Linked DNA regions of Elephas maximus indicus. The protein of the gene in region 1 purifies or fractionates together with the protein of each later gene. This does not show direct contact. Links are inferred from orthologs where the notes say so. Each region holds a gene or a part of one and is shown in the gene's direction. Other genes may lie near its edges.

Region 1 (11,176 bases):
ATATAATCAGGTATTAATTCAAAAGACTAACACAATATTTGATTGCTCTACGAATTAATAAACAATTGGCAAATTGGGGAAACATTCCCTCAAGCAAGAGGAAGCTGCTCCCAGAGAGTGCAGAATTCACAGAGGCTTAAATAACTTTTGCTTAAAGAATACAGGTTTGCATGGTGATGAAGTATTTAATGGCTATTGGGTTAACATTAAAAGGTAATTTCAGGGAAGATTGCCCCTCCATCTACCTGCAGTCTACCACATTGGCTTTGTCTCTTCAACAAGACAATATTGTTTAAAAAAAAAAAAAAGTTTCAGGGTGGGAAGGTACGGAAGTGGAGGGGGGACTGTTCTAGATTTAAAAAACACTTAAGAGACAACACAACTAAAATGTAGTGCCTTTTGTGATACTTAATTGTGAGAAAGTAAATACTGGCTCAGACTGAGAGTAAAACTCAACCCAGCCATTCGCCAAGATGAGGTAACAGATAACAGATAAAGCCAGCTGCAAAGTTAAAAGGAAATCATAGCTCTCCTAAAGATACTCAGGGGCTGTAAAGTGTCTGTTAGGGATGGAATTGTGTCCCCTCAAAATATGTATTGAAATACTGGCCATCTGTGCTTATGGATGTAATCCTGTTTGGAAATAGGAATTTTCTTTTGTTATGTTAATAAGGTCACACCAAACTAGGGTGGGCCCTACACCTAATCACTTCTGAGTCACAAACAGAGCAGATGTAGACACCAGCATACACAGAGGGAAGACAGACAATGGAGACATACATCTACAAGCCCAGGAATGCGCTGAACCTGACCTCCAAAGAACTCCCTAGGGCTACAAGCAAGGAAGGACTTCCCCTTAGAATCAAGCTTCCAATCAGGACTCTGAATCAACTCTGAGATAATAAATTTCTGTTCTCGAAAGCCATCAATCTGTGGTATTTGTATTACAACAGCAGTGCTGTAGGGTGGGAAATGCTGGTCATGTAGTGGTTAAATGCTATGGCTGCTAACCAAAAGGTCGGCAGTTCAAATCCACCAGGCACTTCTTGGAAACTTGATGGGGTAGTTCCACCCTGTCCTATAGGGTTACTATGAGTCAGGATCAACTCGATGGCAACGGGTTTGGCTTTGGGGTTTACTATTTTTATGAGTCAGAATTGGCTTGACGGCAATGGGTTTGGTTTTTGGGTTAAAAAAAAAAGGGTCATAGTGACCCTCTTCTTTGAGTGACTACTGCTTTCTTAATGAGAAAACTATGTTCTCTAAAATTATAGGCTGTTAGGGAATTTCTAGTTTGAAATATATCAGTACAAATCAAATATCTTACTCTTGCTTGAAGACTGTAAGTCACTGTGACACAGAGAAGCCGCCTCAACTTCCAACTCAGGTACAGGGCGTTGCATGACAGAGCTTCCCTTCAAATTCTCAGGGCTGAGGTCTAGAAATGGAGGTTTTCTGTGCCAAGGTGTTCGGCAGGCTTTGTGATTTGAGGGTCAAAAATGCCAAGAGCAAGCCAGAGGGTGATTTTCAGGGGCATGTTGTGACACCAATACTCCTCAGCATGTTTTCTTCTTTTTCAAAATAGGCAACTGAGGGCTTGACACAACTATGTTGAATTTATAAGTTTTTCTCCTTCCTCTGCCTGACTCCTCCTTCGCATACCTCTGTCAATGACTTTGTTCTTTGTTTTAAACAGATGCAAATAAACTTTTGTTCAGTCCCACCACCTGTGACTTACAACCCCCACCGGAAAATCAGAGCCCAAGTGTCTGATACGTATTTCTTTAGTCTGATAGAGTCTTTTGTCACTGTCTTGTAATGAATAACTCCTCAGGCCTGGCCATCTGGGGACTACAAAGACACTTGTAATCCTTGTATGATTCTATATAAACTGTGATGTAAAATTGTTCTTGGGGACTCTATAGAGACGTCTGCCTGTGTTGCTGCTGCCCTCCCCCTACCCCCCGTGACGTTTACATCTCCTTAACAAACTTTCTCACTCTTTCTGATTAGAGTGTGTTTCATTGGTTCGACTGCTCCACGGTACGGACCCTATTCTGGTAACAATGTGCTGGAGCTTGGCTCCCCAATACGGCCCCATTCAGGTTTGTGGGCGCCTATTTCTGCACCCCCTTCCTACTGTAGAAGGAGTCCCTGGCTGGTGCAAAGAGTTAAGCATGTGGCTACTACCCAAAAGGTTGGTAGTTCAAACCCACCCAGGGGTGCCTTGGAAGAAGGCCTTCCATTTGCTGCTGAAAGGTCACAGCTTTGAAAAGGCTTTGGAACAAATGGGGTGGCCATGAGGCTGTATCAACTGGACGATCGTCAGTATCGATTCCTTGGCAACTAACAACAGGCCCCAGCAAGAACTTCAGCTTCAAACCTCCAACCTAGTAGTCCGGTGCCATTTGCACTACTCAGGGACTCCCACCAGGGCGAACAAGGAGCAAATAAATGAATGGATGATTATAAGCAGTGATAAGTACTGGGGAATAAGTGACCAGGAACAGGGAACTAGGAATATAGGAAAAAAAGAAAAAATCTTTTTGGTATTCTCGGCTATACTATTCACCCAACTCAAAGTTTACCAAGGCTGCTGACACTTGGAATTCAAATGCTGTACTTAAATCACAAACCATCTCTGCTGTTAGTTGAGTGGGTTTGGTGCAGGGCCCAGAGCCTCTTGGTCTAAGGGTGTTTTTTTACTGAACAAGCACTCCAGACGGGGAGGAACGCACTTGGAGAGAAGGTGAAGAGAGTGGTTTTGAGTCTGTGGCCAAAAGGGTAGCAGCAAAGGTGGACAGAGAGCTTCCTGGTCAGAAGCAAGGCTGAGCCTGTCTCTGCCACACCCTAGCTGTGTGATGGTGGACCAGCCACTGCATTCCTCTAACTCGAACTTTCAGCCTGTGAAAATGGTGCACTTATTTATTTGGCCAAGGAGCCCTGGTGGCACAGTGGTTAAACACTCGGCTGCTAACTGAAAAAGTCAACCGTTTGAACCCACCAGCCGCTCTGTGGGAGAAAAATCCTGGCAATCTGTTCCTGTAAAGATATCAGCCTAGGAAACCCTATGTGGCAGTTCTACTCTGTCCTATTGGGTTGCTATGAGTGGAAATCAGCTCAACAGCACCTAACAACATGTATATGTATGTATGTATATTTACGTACATATGCAGTGCTATGGATTACTTTTATATGGCCTTTCTTACCATGGTCTTCTAACTCCCGCCAAATGACTAGGTAAACCAAAAAAACCAAACCCACTGCCTTCGAGTTGATTCTGACTCATAGCAACCCTATGGGACAGAACAGAACTGCCCCATGTGGTTTCCAAGGAGTGCCTGGTGGATTCCAACTGCTGACTTTTTAGTTAGCAGCCATACCTCTTAACCTCTACGCTGCCAGGTTTTCCTGGGTGGGACCATGCAAATAGGTGTATGGAATCTTAACCGGGGGACTGGGCAGTTTTGTCACCCTGCTAAGCTTAAAATGAGTCATCCCAGAGGCAGGAAAGGGGGACCTCACTATCACAAAGAAAGATGGGAACGGAGTGTGTACTTTGGACCTGGGGTCCCTGCGCTGAGAATCTTCTAGACCCAGGAGCCAGAGAGAGAGGTCTAACACCAGAGATGGTGCAAGACGGCAAGAAGTAATCGTAGAGAAGCTGTGGCAGCAGAACTAGGAGACCGGCGCTAGACAACTTATTGGGCTTCCTGGCCCACAGAACAAGGTGGTTACAGTGGATATACTGACCCATGGAGTAAGACAGCTGAGTGACTTTGGGCAGGAGGCTTCCCAGCAGAGTGGGTTGCCCTTGGGCGGTTATTGGCAGAGCAAAAGAGCTTTCTTTGTAACACCTGCCCAAGCAGGGCAGAAGCTGGGCCAAGGGATTGAGAGGCCCAGCGGCCAACAGCCAGAGAGAGGCTTACCTGCAAGAACGGCTGAGAAGAGGCTGTCCTGATAGAAGAACTGTATCCTGAGTCATCTCTGCTCCTGAATTTGTAACCCGTTACTTCCCTAATAAATCCCATAACTTGTGAATATGGTCTGTGTGGCCACTGCAATGGATTATCAAACCCAGCAGAGAAGTAGAGCGTGCTACAGGAGGGACGCTTGGTGTCAGAATTGGTAAAGAGGCTGGAGAGTGGAGGTATGTTTGACCTCCCCCTCATAGGAATCAGCCTTGGGCTGTTGATCTTGATTCTCCTTCCCCTTTGTGAACTTCCATTCTTATAACATATCAAGGAGCCCTGATGGTACAATGGTTAAGTACTCAGCTGCTAACTGAAAGGTCAGCAGTTGGAACCCACCAGCCACTCAGTGGGAGAAAGATGTGGCAGTCTGCTCCTGTAAATATCACAGGCAGCCTTGGAAACCTTATGGGCGCAGTTCTACTCTATCCTATAGGGTCACTATGAGTTGGAATTAACTTGACAGAAATTTTTTTTTTTTTTTAGAAATTGCCAGTTTTCCAAAGCGGTTGAACCAATTTACTTTCCTAATAGCACAGTGTGAGAGTTCTGCCTGCTCCCCGTCTTTGCCAACACTTGGTAGTTTCAGTCTTTCATTTTAGCCATTTTGGTAGGCATGAAATGGTATTTCAATAGGGTTTTATTTGCATCTCCATGATGACTAACGTGTCTGGCACCTTTTCATATGTTTGCTCCATAAATATTTGTTGAAAGAATAAATGAATGAATGAAGAATTTGGATAAAAATGGGAAATAATCTGACCATGTCTCTCCCTCTGCTTAAAACTCTTCAGTGGCTCCCCATTGCTCTTAGGGCCAAGCCGAAATCCCTCCCCTGGCTGACAAGAGCCTTTGTGCTCTGATTCCTGCCACCCCTCCTGCTCCAGATGGGTCCCTTCTGTGCTTCTCTCTGGATTCCTGACACTCAGGGCATCTTCAGGTTCCTTCATGGCCCTGCTCTGTCCTGCTTCCTGGCTTTTATCTAAATTGTTTTCTTCAGCCTCGAACACAAGCCAGGTGTCATAAATCCAGATTGGTTGCTTGTATCTAGGCTCAGAAACCCTTTCCTCTGTGAAGCCTTCCCTGGCCCCCACCCTATAGCAGCCAGGGCCTCTTTTGGCTCTCTTATGTCCACTTTTCTTCCTAGCTCTTAAAAAAAAAAATTAAAAAAATTTTTTTTTTTTGCTGCTGTAAATACCTACCTCTCTGTGTGATTATTTAATTAATATCTGTTCCCCCTTACAAACAACAAAATAAAAGCAAAGAAACAGAAGACAAAGAACTCAACACTTTACGCTGAATAAGTTTTGCCTTGTTCCTAAATATTTGTTGAATATATAAATAGCAAAGCAACAGGACAATGAGCATTGTCATCTGAAAGCAATTATCCCTTAAAAACTCACACTTTGAGGGGTACCTGAGCCAAAAAAAAAAAAAAAAATCACAGGAAATGATTCTATCCTCCGCCCTCACTAGGTACTTTAAGGGCTCAAATTCAAACAGTGTTCTTGTTTTCTTTGGTGCAGCTGTTTTTTCTGTGTGTGTGTTTAACGAAACCACACATTAGGTAGGGGATTAAGAAAAGGGAGGAAAGGCCTTGCTAGTGTCACAGGGAAAGTGTGGACTTCCAGGCCTTAGCCCCAACTCCTATCACTTGCTGCCTGTGTATCTATGAGTTAAACCGTTCTTTTTTTAAGGCAATAAGGGGAAACTCTGGTGGTATAGTGGTTAGGTGCTAGGGCTGATAACCAAAAGGTCGGCAGGTTGAATCCGCCAGGTGCTTCTTCGAAACTCTATGGGGCAGTTCTACCCTGTCGGAATCGACTCAACAGCATTGGGTTTGGTTTTTTTTTAAGGCAATATGGTATGGTGGTTAGCATCATAGCCCCCTGCCCCCACCAGAATGCCTGAGTTGAAAAGTTGTCTCAGTTACTTACCATCTATATAATCCTTGACAAATTACTCTGGCTCTCTGGGCTTCCGTTTCCTCACTTGCAAAGTGGAGATAATAATAGTATCTACCTCATGGGGTTAATGTGAGGATTGTTGTTGCTAGCTGCTCTCGCGTGGCGCCTGACCCCTGAGTCACTGCGAACCCATGTGTTACAGAGTGGAGCTGCTCCACAGAGTTTTCTTGGCTGAAATTTTTTCAAGGAGATAGCTAGATCTTTCTCCCTTGGAACCTGCAGACATGCTGGGTGGGTTCGGAACCACCAACATTTCCATTAGCAGCCAACTGCAAACCACTTTAGCCATCCAGTTAATTCATGTTCACTGCTAACAACACATACTAACACACATACAAACCCATGACTACGAATGCCTGTTAATTATTGTCATCTCCAGTCTTAGTTTAACTCTAAGGTGAGCTCTTTGGGATGAAGACTAGAGCCCCTGGGCCAAGAGTGCTCAGACCGGTTGTGGGTTCAAATCCCACTTCCACTTCTTGGGCACGTCATTTCATCTCTCTGAGCCTCAGTCTCTCTATTTGTAACGGTTAGATTAATAAGGGTATCCACTTCCTACTCTGAGTCAGCTGGCTGGGTTCAAATCCCAGCTCTGCCAGTTGATCAGGTGACCCTGGGAAAGCCACTTCACTTCTCTGGGCCTTTTTCCCTCTCTTCCATGAAAGGGGCGGAAGTAGCGGGCACCTGAAACTGTGGACCTACTGAAGCCGGCTGAGAGCAAGGTGTTCCCTGAGGGCGCCGGCCTTAAGTGGACCTGAAGGAGGCCCGAGGCAGAATAGGGCTGTTGATGGACTCGGCAGCCAAGGAGTAGGAATGCACGCCGACTTTTTAAATGATTTTGAAGATCTCGTTGACGATGACGATATCCAGAGAGACACAGTTCAGCTGTGCCACTGTCCCTCCTCAGTCACACAGCGGTGCAGCGGATCTCAGCGGACCACTTACCGTGGCTGAAAGGTCTCAGGCACGGTTAACCAAGACAGATGCTGCCTGTTAATCTCTCAACGTCCTTATTTAAAAAAAAAAAAAAAGAGCAGCGTCACAAAAAAAAAAAAAGGAAGTAATATTAGCGAGGCTGTCGTGAGAACGCAGCTAAGATGTTTGGCACACTGTTTTCTCCTTGTTATCATTACTGTTGTCGTGGCTGTTGTTTTAACAGGATTCGAAAACTGGACGCAGGGTCTGGGCACAAAAACCCAGGCCGCTTTCGGAGGGTTAGCAAACCCTCGCCAGGCCTCCGTAGGGGGTGGGATCCGGCGACCCCTGAGGATGTGGGGACAGGCGCAAGGGCGGTGGCCTGGGGGCCCGGAAGCCCTGGGCGCCGGGGGCGCGGAGGTGGCGGGGGTCGAGCCCGCGTGGGCGGTCCGCTGTGCCGCGCCGAGGTGAGCCGGCCGGGGCGGGGCCGCCGCATCCCCGTGACGCGCGGGCCAACCAGGCGGCGTTGCGGCTCCAGCTCCTCCGCCGCCGCCTCGGGCCCTCCCGCCGCCGCCGCCGCTGCTACAGCTACAGCTACAGCCGGGCCATCCGCCGCCTGCTGCCCGCCGCCCGTGCCCGCCGCCCGCGCCGGCCGCATGGCGCTCCGGGGCTTCTGCAGCGCCGATGGCTCCGACCCCTTGTGGGTACGTGCTCGCGGCCGCCGGGGCCGCGTGGGGCCGCCGGAGGGAGGGAGGGAAGGAGAGAGGGAGGGAAGGAGGCCGGCGGGCTGGCAGGCTGGCGCAGCAGGGGAAGCGCTGGGCAGGGCGGGCCGGGCCCGCAGCTCCGGGGCGCCCGCTGAGGACCCGGAGCCCGCCTCCCGGCTCCGCCGCCGGCCTGGGGGTTCCGCTCCCCAGCCGCCGCCGCCCGGGCCCCTTCGTTTGTGGAACTGATGGGGAAGCTTGTGTGACTCGGTTTCAGGGAAGTCGAGTGTGGGATGGGGGAAGGCAAGAGCCCAGCCCTAGGGCTTTGGAGGTGGGGAAGGGCCCAGACCCTCGGCGAGGGGCCGGAAAGAGGGGCCCTTCATGCTTTGGGATTCCCTCCCTCAATTAAAAATAACTTCTCAGGGAAGCAGACGCCAGAGCTGGGGGACAGTAAAGAGAGGTGTCTCTGCCTGTGTTCTCCCATCTCTCTGGATCGGGGTCCCCCTTCCACAAAGAGCATCCCATTACCAAAGAGCTGAGCTGGGGAGAGGCTTGGGCTGTAGAAGGGGGGTTCCCACTGATTGGGTTGGCGTTTGCCCCCTCCTCAGGTGTTTTCATCCGCATTACTGTGCTGTGGTTACATATTTTTGTCATCTTTTCCTTTTTTTCTGCCTAAATGCTCCAGGGGCAATTTGGGGGAACAGGGGAAGATCAAGGGGAGAAGATGGCTGCTCACCCCTGCTCTGTGTCCCCCCACCCCCAGGGTCAGGCTTGGGGTGCAACTGAGGATTCCTAGGGCTCTAGTACCTGTGGGGTATGTCTACCCCACCCCTGTAATGTGGGCCTCCTCACTGGTTTTTACCCCACCAAGTTTTCTTCAGCATGGGTGATGTCGTGCTTGCTTGGGTCTCAAGAGTTCACTTCCCGTGTGGTTTAATCCCCAGTGCCTTGGGCTTTAGCAACGGTGTAATACGATTTGCCCCTTTGTTCAGGGTAGGGCACTTCTGTGTCATGCTGTCTTGACTACTGGTAGATGCAGTAAGCCAATCTGGACGTGAAGTTGTCTTAGGCTGGGTTCTCTATAGAAGCAAAACCAGTGAAGCTTATATATCTATACATATATATACATGTATGTATATGAACCTGTTGCTATTGAGTAGTTTTCAACTCATAGTAGCCCTATAAGCCCTATAGGACAGAGTATAACTGCCATGTAGGATTTCCAAGGAGCACCTGGTAGATTTGAACTGCTGACCTTTTGGTAAACAGCTGAGCTTTTAACTACTGCACCACCAAAGTGCTCTATCTCTGTGTGTATATATATGTGTGTGTGTATATATACATATATATGTATGTATAAAAACCAAAAGAATCCATTGCCATCAAGTTGATTCAGACTTATAGCAACCCTGTAGGACAGAGTAGACCTGCCCCATGTGGTTTCCAAGGAGCACCTGGTGGATTCGAACTGTTGACCTTTTGGTTAGCAGCCATAGCTCTTAACCACTATGCCACCAGAGTTGCCATGTGTATATGTGTGTATATATATGTGTATGAATATATGTATATATGTGTATATTTATCTCAAGGAAATGGCTCACATGGTAGTAGAGGCTGGCAAGTCCCGAATCAGACTGGAGGCTTCTCCTGACTCACGTAGCTGTAGGGGCTGATGAACCCAAGATTGGAAGGTCAGACAGCAGGCTGCTGTCTCACAGGCTGCAGAGACCATGGAATCCTAAGATTGGCAGGCAATACAGCGGGCCACTGGCTCAAGTCCCAGGAACCAGAAGTCAAATAACGATGAGCTGGATGCAGGATCCAGAGGGAGCAAAAGCCAGTGAGCTTTGCCAGAGCATCTTGATATATTGGATGCAGGCCCCTCCCCCAAAGAAATTCTGCTTACAGCTTATTGGCTGATCACATCAGATCACATCATGGAGGGGATTACATTATATCACAAAATGGAGGGTAACTAGATCATCGCACAATTGCCAAACCACTGAGAATCACGGCCCAGCCCAAGATGATATACAACTTTAACCATCACAATAGTTTTTCATCTTTAGTTAAGGAATTAGGAGAAAGAATCACCTTTGTCTCCTGGGAACTGGTGTTTAGCATCTGAAAATACCTTCTTGTCCTGTTTCGTAGTCTTTTCCTTGAAGGCTGTATTTTTACTGGAAGGATTTAGTTTTGAGCAGGGTATCCTTTTGGTAGAACAACCAGCAGCCCTGCCTTTTTGTTTCGCATTTTCTGGCCAGTGCAGTTGGAGATTTGCTCCAGGGCTGCGAATAGTACATGTGCTTTGCATTCAGGGTCTAGGAGTGATTGGAGAGCAGACCTTTTGCAGAGTTGGACTCTAATTGGCAGTGAGGACAAACCTGTAGATCGACCCTCCTGCTCTCCATCCCAGTTGTAATTAAGGCTTAAGGCTGGGAAAGACTGGCTTCCCAGCCAGTTAGATAAGCGCGTGACGTTGGGCAAGGCACTTCACCTCTTTGTGCCTCAGTTTTCCTCATCTGTAAAATGGGGGCAGGTAATAAATGTCACAACCTCCTAGGGTTGTTGTGAAGAGTAAAACAATGTTAAACAGAGTTAAACAATGATTATTATTCTTTCTAAAGATGAAGTTCGTGTGTTTCGAGTTGCATGTGTTTGAGCCCACTTTTCATTTGATGTTTGGGGATGGGATTGGGCTGTGGGATCTGCCTGCCAACTCATGCCTGGCTTCTCTTATGACCAAAGTCATGTGTTTAAAAATCAAGGTGACCTTGAAAACGTTAACGCTGAGTGAAATAAGTCAGCCGCGAAAGGGCAAATATTGTATGAAATTGTATGCAATATCTAGAATCAGCAAGTATGTAGAGACAAAAGTTTTACTAGGGGTGGGAGGGATAGAGGGAGAAAGGAAGACACAATGCTTAGCACTGAGCTTCTGTTAAGGATGTTAGAAAAATTCGAGGACTGTTGATGGCGATGACTAAACGCAATTAATGCCACTGAACTGTACCCGTGAAGGTTGTAGAAATGGCAGATGTTCTCTGTTACCTACATACTTATCAGTAAGAAAAAAAAATCAAGGTGACTGGCCCACCTGTGACTCTATCAGAAGCTTTGTTCCTGGGAGTGTCTGCTTCCGGGCCCAGAAAAACTTGAGCGGGGGACATGGCCAATGGTGAGAGGTCTGTGGACTTATCAAGTCCACTCAGGCAAATGCTCTGGAATGAGAAAAGGGAAAGTCTGTTATCTACATGGAAAATAGAGGCTGAGTTCACAGGTGCTTGGCTTTGTTTGGGGACTGTAGGCTGGCAGAAGGGGCTGTTTTGTGGTTGATATTTGAATGAAGGTTGGGAAAGTTGAGTCTGGGTTTCTCCATACAAGTTAGTTTTTTAAAAAAAAACATTTGTTTACTAATGCGATGCGTGCCCAGAGTGAAAAATCAGAAAATGTGAAAAAGTAGAGAAAACAAATAAGCAGTGTAGTGTGGGTTTACAAATCCTGGCTCTGTGGCTTACCAGCTGGATAGCTTAGGTAAGTTACTTTTCTTTGTGCCTCTGTTTCCCCATGTGGACAATCGGGATGATGATAATAGTCTCTGGCAAAAAGTGGTAGTAGGAAG
Region 2 (11,094 bases), on another chromosome or scaffold:
ACATATCCAGCCTGCTTATCACAGCTATATACTTAGGAAAAAAAAAAAATAGAAGGGAACTACTTTTCATTTTCTTGCTATTTTTTCCATGGCATATCACTGTAGAAGCATGTTACTTTCTTTTTTCCCTAAATTATCCTTTATGTAAATGGAATTATAGTGATTCACAAGGAAGTGGTTAAGATGAAATAATTTGCAGGTTGGATCAGTCAGACTACACATATCACTTTGACAAAATTGGTTTCCCTGTGAAGACGCCTTGCAAATATTATTGACATTAAACTTAGAATCTGACCTTAGTAGGGAGGCCCTAGGCACACAGTTAACTGTAATTCATAACCATGCTCACAACCTTATGAAGAACCTGGATGAGGCTCCTGGGGAGTAAGGGCTTGAAGGAATAGGGTCCTTGTGTCTCTGAAGCCCCGTGTGGCCCAACAGATACAGTTTTTCTTTTACCTTGTTTCCTTGCTCCCCCTTGTGGTTCAGTGTGGAGTGAGCACTCAGAAGGTCCAAGGTGAATTCTATGTTCACCATTCCGGAAGCATCTCCCTTCTGGTGGAAATTCCCCAGAGAACAGCCCTTCCCATCTTATAAATCTAGGTACTTCCCCACCTATTAAAGTGAGCTTAACTTCTCAGTTATAAAGGAAACCCACTTTCATTTTAGAAATTCTGGAAAATACAGAGAAGCCTGAAGAAGGAAGGAAAAGTCACATATATTCTGACCCAGCTGTGGTAAAAAAAAAAAAAAAAAATTTTTTTTTTTTTTTAGTCACTGCTAAATTTTAGTAAAAGTCCAGCTCCCGCAGAGGTAAACAGTGATGCTATGCTTATTATTCCCTTGCTTTTTCCTGAAGTGAAATTACAACGCACACACGCACATACACCCACACACAACTGGGATTACACTGTATGTATACTTTTGTTTCCTTTCTCTCTCTTTCCCAGAATAGAACATTAAGAGCTCTATCCCCAGAACATCAAAAATTATTAGAACACATTTTACTGGCTGTACTGAAATCTAGAATATGGGTGGATTTTAAGTTATTTGGGGCCCTGGTGGTGCAGTGGTTACGAGCTATGGCTACTGACCAAAAGGTGAGTAGTTCAAATTCACCAGTTGCTTCTTGGAACTCTATGGGGCAGTTCTACAGGGTTGCTATGAGTTGGAATTGACTCGATGGCAACGGGTTTAGTTTTTGGTTTTTACTGTTTATTTAATGAACCCTCTGTATTGGCCATTTAGGTTGCTTTTTTATTTTTCAAAAAAAGAAAAGAACTTTTCTTTTTTTTGCTACTATAAACCATTCAGGAGCTCTGGTGGGATAGTGGTTAAGAGCTCGGGTGCTAACTAAAACGTCAGCAGTTCGAATCCACAAGCTGCTCCTTGGAAACCCTATAGAGCCAGTTCTACTCTGACCTATAGAGTCACTATGAGTCGGAATTGACTCGACGGCAAAGGGGTTTTTTTTTTTTTTTGGATAAACCATTCCAGCTGTTCAAGATGTCTTTGCACAAATCTATGGTTTTTTCCTTGAGGTGAGTTCCTAGATATGGAATTCCAGGATTAAAAGTATGATGTCTTTGATCATTCTGTCCCTCTGCTCTGGAAGCCATTCTCTTGTGCCCACCTGAACCACTGCAAGCTGTCACTTCCTCTAAAAAGCCTTCAGTTGCCTCCCCAGGCTTAGGTAATGTGCTTTCCCCCAGAGTCTCTGTGCTCTGCTGCCTCCTTGTAAAGGCCCAGGGGCTTGGCTTGCTGCCACCTTCTCTTCAAAGATGCACTCCTCATCAGAGTTTTTGGGGTCCTTGGCCTTGAAAACAAGCAAGTAGTACCCTTTTCTTTAACGAAACAGAGAATTAAATAACACTTTTGTTTTCAAAGTCTTATAATATCTCTACACTTACGGTAGTCGAACTATCAAATCTTCACAGAAGGGTCCCTGTTCTCAGTCCCCCCACCACTACCATTTCTGGGTAAAACTATACTAACTTTCTGTTATTTTCTCTCAAAAAACTAATGTACATAGATCAGCAGGCTATCTTTTTTTATTGTGCTTTATGTGAAAGTTTACAAGTCAGCCTCTCATTAAAAAACTCATACACAGCTTGCTATGTACTCCTAGCTTCTCTTCCCCTCTCCTCTCCACCCTGTATTCCCCATGTCCATTCAACCATCTCCTGTCTCGCCTCCCCCGCCTTCTCATCTCGCTTGCAGACAGGAGCTGCCCACATAGCCTCATGGGTCTACTTGAGCCAAGAAGCTCACCCTCACCAGTATTACTTTCTGTCTTATAGTCCAGTTCAATCCCTGTCTGAAGTGTTGGCTTTGGGAATGGTTCCAGTCTTGAGCTAACAAAGGGTCTGGGGACCATGACCTCAGGGGTCTCTCTAGTCTCAGTCAGACCATTAAGTCTGGTCTTTTTATGAGAATTTGAGATCTGCATCCCATTGTTTTTCTGCTCCATCTGGGATTCTCTGTTGTGTTCCCTGTCAGGGCAGTCCTCCGTTGTAGTCGGGCACCATCTAGTTCTTCTGGTCTCAGGCTGATATAGTCTCTGGTTTATGTGGCCCTTTCTGTCTCTGGGGCTCATCTTTACCTTATGTCTTTGGTGTTCTTCATTCTCTTTTGTCTAGGTGGGTTGAGACCAATTGATGCATCTTAGATGGCTGCTTACTAGTGTTTAAGGCCCCAGACATGACTCACCAGAGTGGGATGCAGAATGTTTTCTTAATACATTTCTTTATGCCAACTGACCTAGATGTCCCCTGAAACCATGGTCCCTAAACCCCCATCCCTGCTACTCTGGCCTTTGAAGCATTCGGTTGTATTCAGGAAACTTCTTTGCTTTTGGTTTAGTCCAGTTGTTCAGCAGGCTATCTTGACTCAGGAGGGTAACCTGAATGGGGAACCTGCTCATGAGGTTCGCCATGGGCCTCTGGACCCGCACAGCAGTGATGTCGTGAGGTGTTTCCTCATACCTCACCTTGGAGCATACATAGCAAGCACTTAGCAAATGTCTCTCAAATGAAAAAATTTAAAGTCCTTTCTCTGCTCTATAATGCTGTAATTCTATAGATTTTATAGGAGAAGAATACCATGTTATTGTGATTTGGACTGAGAGTCCTATCTACACTTCTGAAGAGTTTACATCCAGTGGAGGTGGGGGAAATGAGAACTGGCTTTAGTTCTCTGATTTAGATTTGTTTTCCTTGTTATAATTTTATGTATATCTACTCCTGTTTCTTCTGTGTGGTAAATATACATGTAACAAAACATTTGCCATTTCACCATTCTTCACATGTACAATTCAGTGACATTCTATTCATCATCAGTTGTGCGAGCATCATCATCTGTTTCCTAATTTTTCCATCACCCTTAACAGAAGCTCAGTGTCCTCTAAGCAATGAGTCCTCTTTTCCCTCCTACCCACCTCTGGTAACCACTCATAAACTTAGGTCTGTATACACACCTATTCTGGATATTTCATGTAAGTAGAATCATGCAATATTTGTCCTTTTGTGACTGACATGTTTCACTCAGTATGATGTTTTCAAGGTTCATTCATGTTGTAGCACATATTAGAACTTCATTTATCTTCATGGCTGAGTACTATCCCAGTGTATGTATGTAACACATTTTGTTTATCCATTCATCTGTTAATGGGCATGTAGGTGGTTTCCATCTTTTTGCTATTGCAAATAGTGCTGCAATGAACACTGGGGTAACTGTATCTGTTTGGTTTTTGTTTGCAATTCTTTTGGGTAAAAACTATACCTCGAAGTGGAATTACTGGCTCGTAGGAACTGCCAAAATGTTTTCCACAGTGCTGTACCATTTCTGGTGCAGTTTTTGAGGTGACTAAGGCCAAAGTCTTGATATGGACATTGAGCGTTTAATCTGCAACCCACTAAACCGACAGGGCCAGAAGGACGGGAAACAAAGGAAGGATGCTCTCCTGCAGCAGCGCTGGTTTCTTTCACCACCTTCCTGTTTCAGGCGTTGCGAAAGAGAGCAAGTCTCTCTGGATGATGCGAGATGACGGTTGTCAGGTCTTTTCAGAAGAAAGACTTTTGGGTAACAGAAGATGAAGAAAGGAATGTTGCCAAATTCCTGCTCAAAGTGCTGTTTATAGCCTTTAATGGCCAGCTGTATCCAACAAAGGCTAGCGCTGAGCCAAAGCATAGGCTGGAATTGTGGCTCCAGTGAACAGGTCTCCTGTGTATGCATAAATATGGGTTTTGCCTCTATAGCTTTTAAATTCTCATAGCATATTAATTTTCAACAGTTTTATTAACTAATGAATATTTTCCATATGCCAGGTAGATTACATGCTACAGGTTCATTATTTCATTTAATACCCATTACAATCCTCTGAGGTATATATTACTTAGTTCTGTTTCTCTTATGAGGAAACTGAAGCATAGAGAGATTTAAGTTGCTTGCCCAAAAGCACAGATTTGGCACAGTTGAGGCACAAGCCCAGCCTCTTTTGACTCCAGTACTCATTTTGTTCAGCTTATTAGGTTATACTGCTTTGCTTACGGCATTTATCATATTCTGCCTCATTCAGCAGTTATTTGTCCAAGTCTTAGATAATGAGTCCTTTGGGAGCGTTTATCTTTTTTATCTGTGATTAACTTTAAAGACTAATCATATCTGCCTATTGACTAAAGCAGCAACCTGGTGTTGGGGACTGAGCCTCACAGACTTTGTAGGTGTTTTTCTCCTCAACTTTTTATTTTGAAAATTAAAACTCACTGAAAAGTTTCAAGAATAGTGCAACAAACACCTGTATATATCTCTCACCTAGATTCCCCAGTTGTTAACATTTTGTCACATTTGCTCGCTGTCACTCTCTTCTTTTGAACCATTTAAGTTAGTTGCAGACCCATGCTATTTTACTCCTAAAGGCTTCAGGGTGTATCTCCTAAAAACAAGAGTATTTCCACATTACCACAACACAATTATCCTCAGAAAATCTTGCATTGTTACAATACTAATACACAGTCTATATTCAAAGCTCCCCAATTGTCCCAATAATGCCCCTTACTGCTGTTTTTTTTTTTTAATTGTTTTTATCTAGAGTCCAATTTAGGATCACACATTGCCTTTAGTGTCATGTCTTTTGTTTCTTTTAATCTAGAACAATCCACTATCCTTTTTCTTACAATTTCATGAAATCTCCATTTTTTAAGAGACGGGGCAGTTGTTTTGCAGAATGTTCCTGAATTTGATTTGTCCGATTGTTTCCTCATGAATATGCCACCTACCCACCACTTACCCTTGAAAACTCTTTGGGGGCAGTTCTACTCTGTCCTGTAGGGTCGCTATGAGTTGGAATCCACTCAACAGCAGTGGGTTCGGTTTTGGTTTGGTTTGGCAAGAATACTACCTTTGTGTCCTCTGGGCGTCCTACGCTGGCGATGTTTAGTTTGATCCATTGATTAAGGGTGATTTCCATGGTGTTTTTTTTAAAAGTAACCCTTACTTTCTGTAATTTAGTAAATAATCTCTGGGGCGACACTCACAAACAGTACGAATATTCTCAACAGTTAGCATCCATTGATAATTTTCGCCTGAACCAGTCTCACTATGGTGGCTCCAAACGGTGGTTTTGTTTCTATAATTTCTTCTACATTCATTGGCTTGGTATCTTCGACAAAGAAGGGTCGCCCCACCCCACCTTGAATTGGAATCTGTATTTGTGTGATCTTCAAGAAATCACTTGCGCCCTTGGAACCTATGTTTTCTCATCCTTAAGATGAGATGACCTAAGGGTCACATTCTTGAATTCTGGTCCGTCTGAGATGAAATTCCCATGAAGACCTGCAACGGCATCCGCCCAGGAATGAAACGGGCTGGATCTGACGCATCAGACCCGAGCATCCATCAGTCTTCCCACCCGCCCCCGCCGCGGCCCTCCCATGGTAACAGTGAGGGCAGCCTCCGGGCGTTCTCGCGAGAGGAGCCCCTGCCCGGGCCACAGTGCGGTCTGCCGCGTGTGCCCCCCGCCCCCAGCCACCTGCGCGCTGGGCCCTCCTGCGCACGCGCTCACACGGAGCCGGACAGTTGGCCGCGTTTGTTCGCCCCAGCTGTTCCTCTCCCCCGCCCAGATCGGCGGTGAGCGAACCCCGCCGGCCACCACGGCGCAAACGCGGGGCGGCAGAAGGTGGGGCGCGCAGGCGCCGCGGGGGAGTGAGGTCGCGCAGGCGCGGACGGCGTTGGTGGGGAGAAGACCTTCTGCGCTGTTGCCCTGGCCGAGCCGAGACGGGCCCTCTGGCTGGAGGTGAGAGGAGCCGAGGCCGCCGGCCGGCGCGACTGGCGGAGGGGCCGGGGCGCCGCGGGTGGCGACAGAGCAGGGAACCCGGCGAGGGACTGACCTAACGGAGGGTTCAGGAGGGACGGAGCAGTCTAACGGGGCGCGGGAGCGGCGCGGGCCGGCCGGGCAGCAGGGGCAGAGGGGGCGCTGCGCTCCGCCGGGGACCTTGCTCCGCCTGTCGCCTCAGGTGATGGAGCCTGGCGGTGAGAGGAGCTGCTGCGAGCGCGGAGCGTCGACCTTCCCTTCGGCGGTGTCGGGACCGGGCTTGCTTTCTAGGCGTCAGGCTAGGATTGATGTTTGGGGAAGTTGGATTCTGGAATCCCAAACCCGCTCCCCCGTTTCCAGCCCCCTTTCTGGAATTGTTATCAAACATCGGGAGCTCTTCGCTCCTTGAGGCCAAAGGGAGGACGCTGCACGTGCAATTTAAACAGAAACGAGGAACAAAAGGAGCTCTTGGCTGACTGTCAAGTTAGGAATTGTGTAAAGCAGTATTACCCAGTTAACGCCTTTCCCCCGGTCTGCATCGAGGGCAACACCGCTATATTGTGCTTATCTACAAAAAATAAGTGCATTTGTGGAGCGGATAGAAATATGTGATCGCACTGTCGAGTAACATGAAGCCTTCTGGTTTTTTGCTTGATCATACCAGCAGTGCGTTTCCCATCAGAATCGTGGGACTGAAAAAGTCACCTAAAAATAGGCAGAATTGACATCAGTAGGTGAACTAAACCTGCTATGCGGCTTTTGCAGAATACCTGGCAGTGGCTTTGAAAAAAGTAATAAAGGAAAATACTAAAAGGTTGTAAATAGCTTCTCTATATATGGGTGCTTCTGAACATTTTCCCTTCTTGGCAGTTAGAAGAAAAGCCAGAATGTAAAGCCTTAACATTTCTGAATATGTAGGGCCTGCTTTTCTATATTTCCCAAATTGTGATGATAAAGAGTAATAACGTCACTTTGGAAATAATGTAAATTGATCATTTGAGTACAAAAGCGGTTGAATTGTAAAATAGTTACTCTGGAGGTGAACTCTGAAATCTTGTAGCTTCTGAGCAAAGTCTTAAGACCATGTGAGTCAGTACATTTATACGATATGTGTAAAATCTTCCTCATAACTTTATATCATGATGTCTGTCATTTCACTGGTTTAGGTTATGGGACAAGGTGTAAATAAATTCACAGTTGAGAGGTGCAATATAAGTGTATGTCATGTTCTTCAGGTATGATGGTATAGGCAGAAGCTTAGCAGAAGGCCAGATTAAGAGCTAGGCTAAATATAAATGAATATGGTTTGACTATGTGTAGATGGTGTAGGCATGGGAATTGCAAAGGCTACCTGGTGTTCTGAACTTTTTCATGGTATAGTCATCGAGGTAATGTGGCTACTTGAGGTGGTTCTGTAATTTGTTAGATATGGCTTTGGAGTTTGCAACAACAGAACCTGTTGCAGGAAAAAAATTTCCAGCGTACAAAGAGTATAAAGGAGTGGTATGTTCTGAAATGTTGATAGCTTCTGAGAATTTGTTGGGAGGGTCATATCGGTGGTAGAAAAGCTGGCTGAATACTAAGTAGGCAAGATGAAAAGTCAAGGCACCTTGGATTTTTGAAGGCTTTAGCTTTGTAGTTTACACCAATTTTTGGTAAACAGATTATGTAGGTAGAATCCATCCTATTTCTGGTTAATAGGTATGATTGCAGCGCTGCATTTTAAGAAGCGCTTTGAGAGGGGGTATATTCTGGGTGAATACATTTCAGTTAGTATGGTGGTTTCTTATTTTAAGAACTGAATTTCAGAGAAGCAAAAATGTGAACCCTAAGGATTTTCTTTGCATCTATTGTTACAGTTCCTTAAAATATTTACCTTGTTGCCCTGTATTGCTCTTTGGCTTTTATCACAGCCTGAGAAAGGTTTTTCTAAGTGAATTTGGCATATTTTTTAAAAAGTGAGAAGTCCAGTTTAACAAAGCATCTCCTTCAGCCTGTGAGAACTTGTTTTTCTCTGATGCACTCAGAAAGATGACCTCTGTGACTCTCATGAGAAAACCTTTTCTTCTCCAGTGTTCTGGAAAGTTCTTTTGTAAGGACAGAATGCCTTCTCTTAACTTCAGTTGTCTTAGAGTATAAGCATTAATGATGCAAAGGAAGAGAAAACTGTATACTTCTCCCAGGATGAAATGTTGAAAAACTATGGGTGAATAAATACTCAGTGGTTATTTTTATTCCTTTGTCCCATTTTTCTTTATAAGATATGTGTAACACACCGACTTACTGTGACCTAGGGAAGGCTGCCAAGGATGTCTTCAACAAAGGATATGGTAAGTAATGCTATTGTAAATTTCCATCTTTGGGGTGTAAGGATTAGTGATTTAAGGAGATAACTATTAGGTTATTAGACTTGATTTTTTTAAAGGTAGAGTCCTTTATTGTTGTTGTTAGGTGCCGTTGAATTGATTTTGACTCATAGCGGCCCTGTGTGACAGAGTAGCACTGCCCATAGCGTTTTTTAGGCTGTAATCTTTAAGGCGGAGCCCTGGTGGTTAAAGAGCTTGGCTGCTAACCAAAAGGCCAGCAGTTCAAATTCACCAGCCGCTCCTTGGAAACCCTGTGGGGCAGATCTACTCTGACCTGTAGGGTTGTATGAGTTGGAATTGACTAGACAGCAGTGGGGTTTTTTTGTTTTAAACTTTAAGGAGGGTCCCTGGTGGTGCAGTGGTTAAGCGGTCAGCCTAGCAATTGGCAGTAGATCCTGTGGGGCAGTTCTCCTATGTCATATATGGTTGCTATGAGTTGGAATCGATTTGATGGCAATGGATTTTGTTTTTTGTTTTGGAATCTTTAAGGGAGCAGATCACCAGGTCTTTCTCCCATGGAGCTGCTGGGTGGGTTCAGACTGCCAGCCTCTAAGGTTAGCAGCTGAGTGTTGTGCTACCAGGGCTCCTTTAGAGCCCTTAGAACCATTAAAATCAAGTGTGTATATATATATGTGTGTGTGTGTGTGTGTGTGTGTATGTGCGTATAAAATGTTATTGATAAGATAAAATAATATAAATATATAATATCTATATCTCCTCTGGCTAGCCTTGTGGACAATTAAAACAGGGGTGCTTTTTCCCTGTCCAAATAATGGCAGTGTTTTTATGAGAGTAAAGACACAACTTTTGACTTCCTTCGAGTAATATATATTCATTGATCCTAAATGCACATTTATTTTTAGTTTTTTAAAACTTAATATTTAAACTCTTAATTTTTATGCTGAACACATTTGATTTCTTCTTAACCAGTATTGTTAATTTATATTTTAAACTTGTGTGTATATCAGCATAATATCTTCTAGAAATATTGGTTCTTGGAATAATGCATATTGTTTTCATTCATTTTTAACTTATATTTTTAAAGTATGTGTTTATTCATTTTGGAGGGCTTAAAAATTATACTTAAATTGCTTGGTTGTAAATTCAGTTCATTACAGAATTCTCAGCTAATGAAAATACTATGTATTTTATATATGGAAAATATTGCAGTCTGTTTTCTTAATTTCTGAGTTGCAAAATTGGACTGGATGTCACATTTTGTACATTACTGTGTTTTTGTGTGTGTGTCTAGGGTTTGGCATGGTCAAAATCGACCTAAAAACCAAGTCTTGTAGTGGAGTGGTGAGTACCTATTATTCTTTTAATAGATGTAATGTAATTAAAGAAACCCATTTAAAAACCATTATCACGCTTGTTATGTGAAACAGTGTACTTTTGGCACTAGGCTGGGTTCCCTGCAGATTTGTCCTACTCTCATGTTTCAGCGAGCGTCCTTACTCAGCCATTTAAACCCATAGATGATCGGGTTGAATTTGATGGGATTTTAGGTGTTCGTTTTAAGAGTATTCTGAGTCTTACTCCCGGAAAACATAAAATACATATTTTTTGACCTTTGACATATCTTTATACTTTTCTGAATATGCATATGGACACTAGAAATTTTACTTCCATTATAATGAATTCATGCAAGATTTTTTTTTATAATTTATTTTGTTGTTGAGAATATACACAGCAGTACCCCAGTTCTACAGTTTGTACATGTACAATTCAATGACATCGATTACATTCTTCGAGTTGTGTAAGCATTCTCACTCTCCATTTCTGAGTTGTTTCTCTCCCATTAACATAAACTCACTGTCCCCTAAGGTTCCTATCTAATCTTTCAAGCCACTGTTGTCAGTTTGATCCCATAGAGATAAACCTTGCTGCTGCTGTTATTGGTAGGTGCCATAGAGTCAGTTCCTACTCAGTGACCCCATGCACAACAGAAAGAAACACTGCTTGGATCTGTGCCATCCTCACAGTCGTTGTTATATGTGAGCCCATCGTTGCAGCCGCTATGTGAGTCTGTCTCGTCGAGGGTCTTCCTCTTTTTCGCTGACCCTCCCCTCTACCAAGCATGAAGTCCTTCTCCAGGGACTAGTCCTTCCTGATAACGTGTCCAAAGTATATGAGGGGAAGTCTCACTGTCCTGGCTTCTAATGAGCATTCTGGCCGTACTTTTTCCATGGATAGATCTTAAGAGAGTAAAATGCCCAAGGCAGACATTCTTTACTAGTTAAGCTAAACTATTGTTTGATTTTAAGGAGACTTCAGGGGATATATTTGGTTTACATTTTAAAGATTATTTTAGGACAGTAGTTTCAGAGGTCTATGCAAATTTTAATGCCCTTTTACAAAAAACAATATGAATCTGTGTCCCTTCATGATTAATTGAAATAAATGTTAGAAGTAAAG

Evidence for each region.
Region 2: the proteins of ABCC1 (region 1) and VDAC3 fractionate together in Homo sapiens (co-fractionation; 3 studies listed by BioGRID). This does not show direct contact. The link is inferred for Elephas maximus indicus from reciprocal best matches to the Homo sapiens genes ABCC1 and VDAC3.

The regions. Positions count from the first base shown.
Region 1 is NC_064830.1:76,491,683-76,502,858, forward strand, and holds the start of ABCC1 (multidrug resistance-associated protein 1), read left to right. Parts: upstream 1-7,020; 5' UTR 7,021-7,035; coding exon 7,036-7,557; intron 7,558-10,493; exon of another isoform or gene 10,494-11,176.
Region 2 is NC_064840.1:57,988,381-57,999,474, reverse strand, and holds the start of VDAC3 (voltage-dependent anion-selective channel protein 3), read left to right. Parts: upstream 1-6,052; 5' UTR 6,053-6,292; intron 6,293-8,571; 5' UTR 8,572-8,573; coding exon 8,574-8,640; intron 8,641-9,928; coding exon 9,929-9,978; intron 9,979-11,094. UniProt on the Homo sapiens protein: Non-selective voltage-gated ion channel that mediates the transport of anions and cations through the mitochondrion outer membrane and plasma membrane.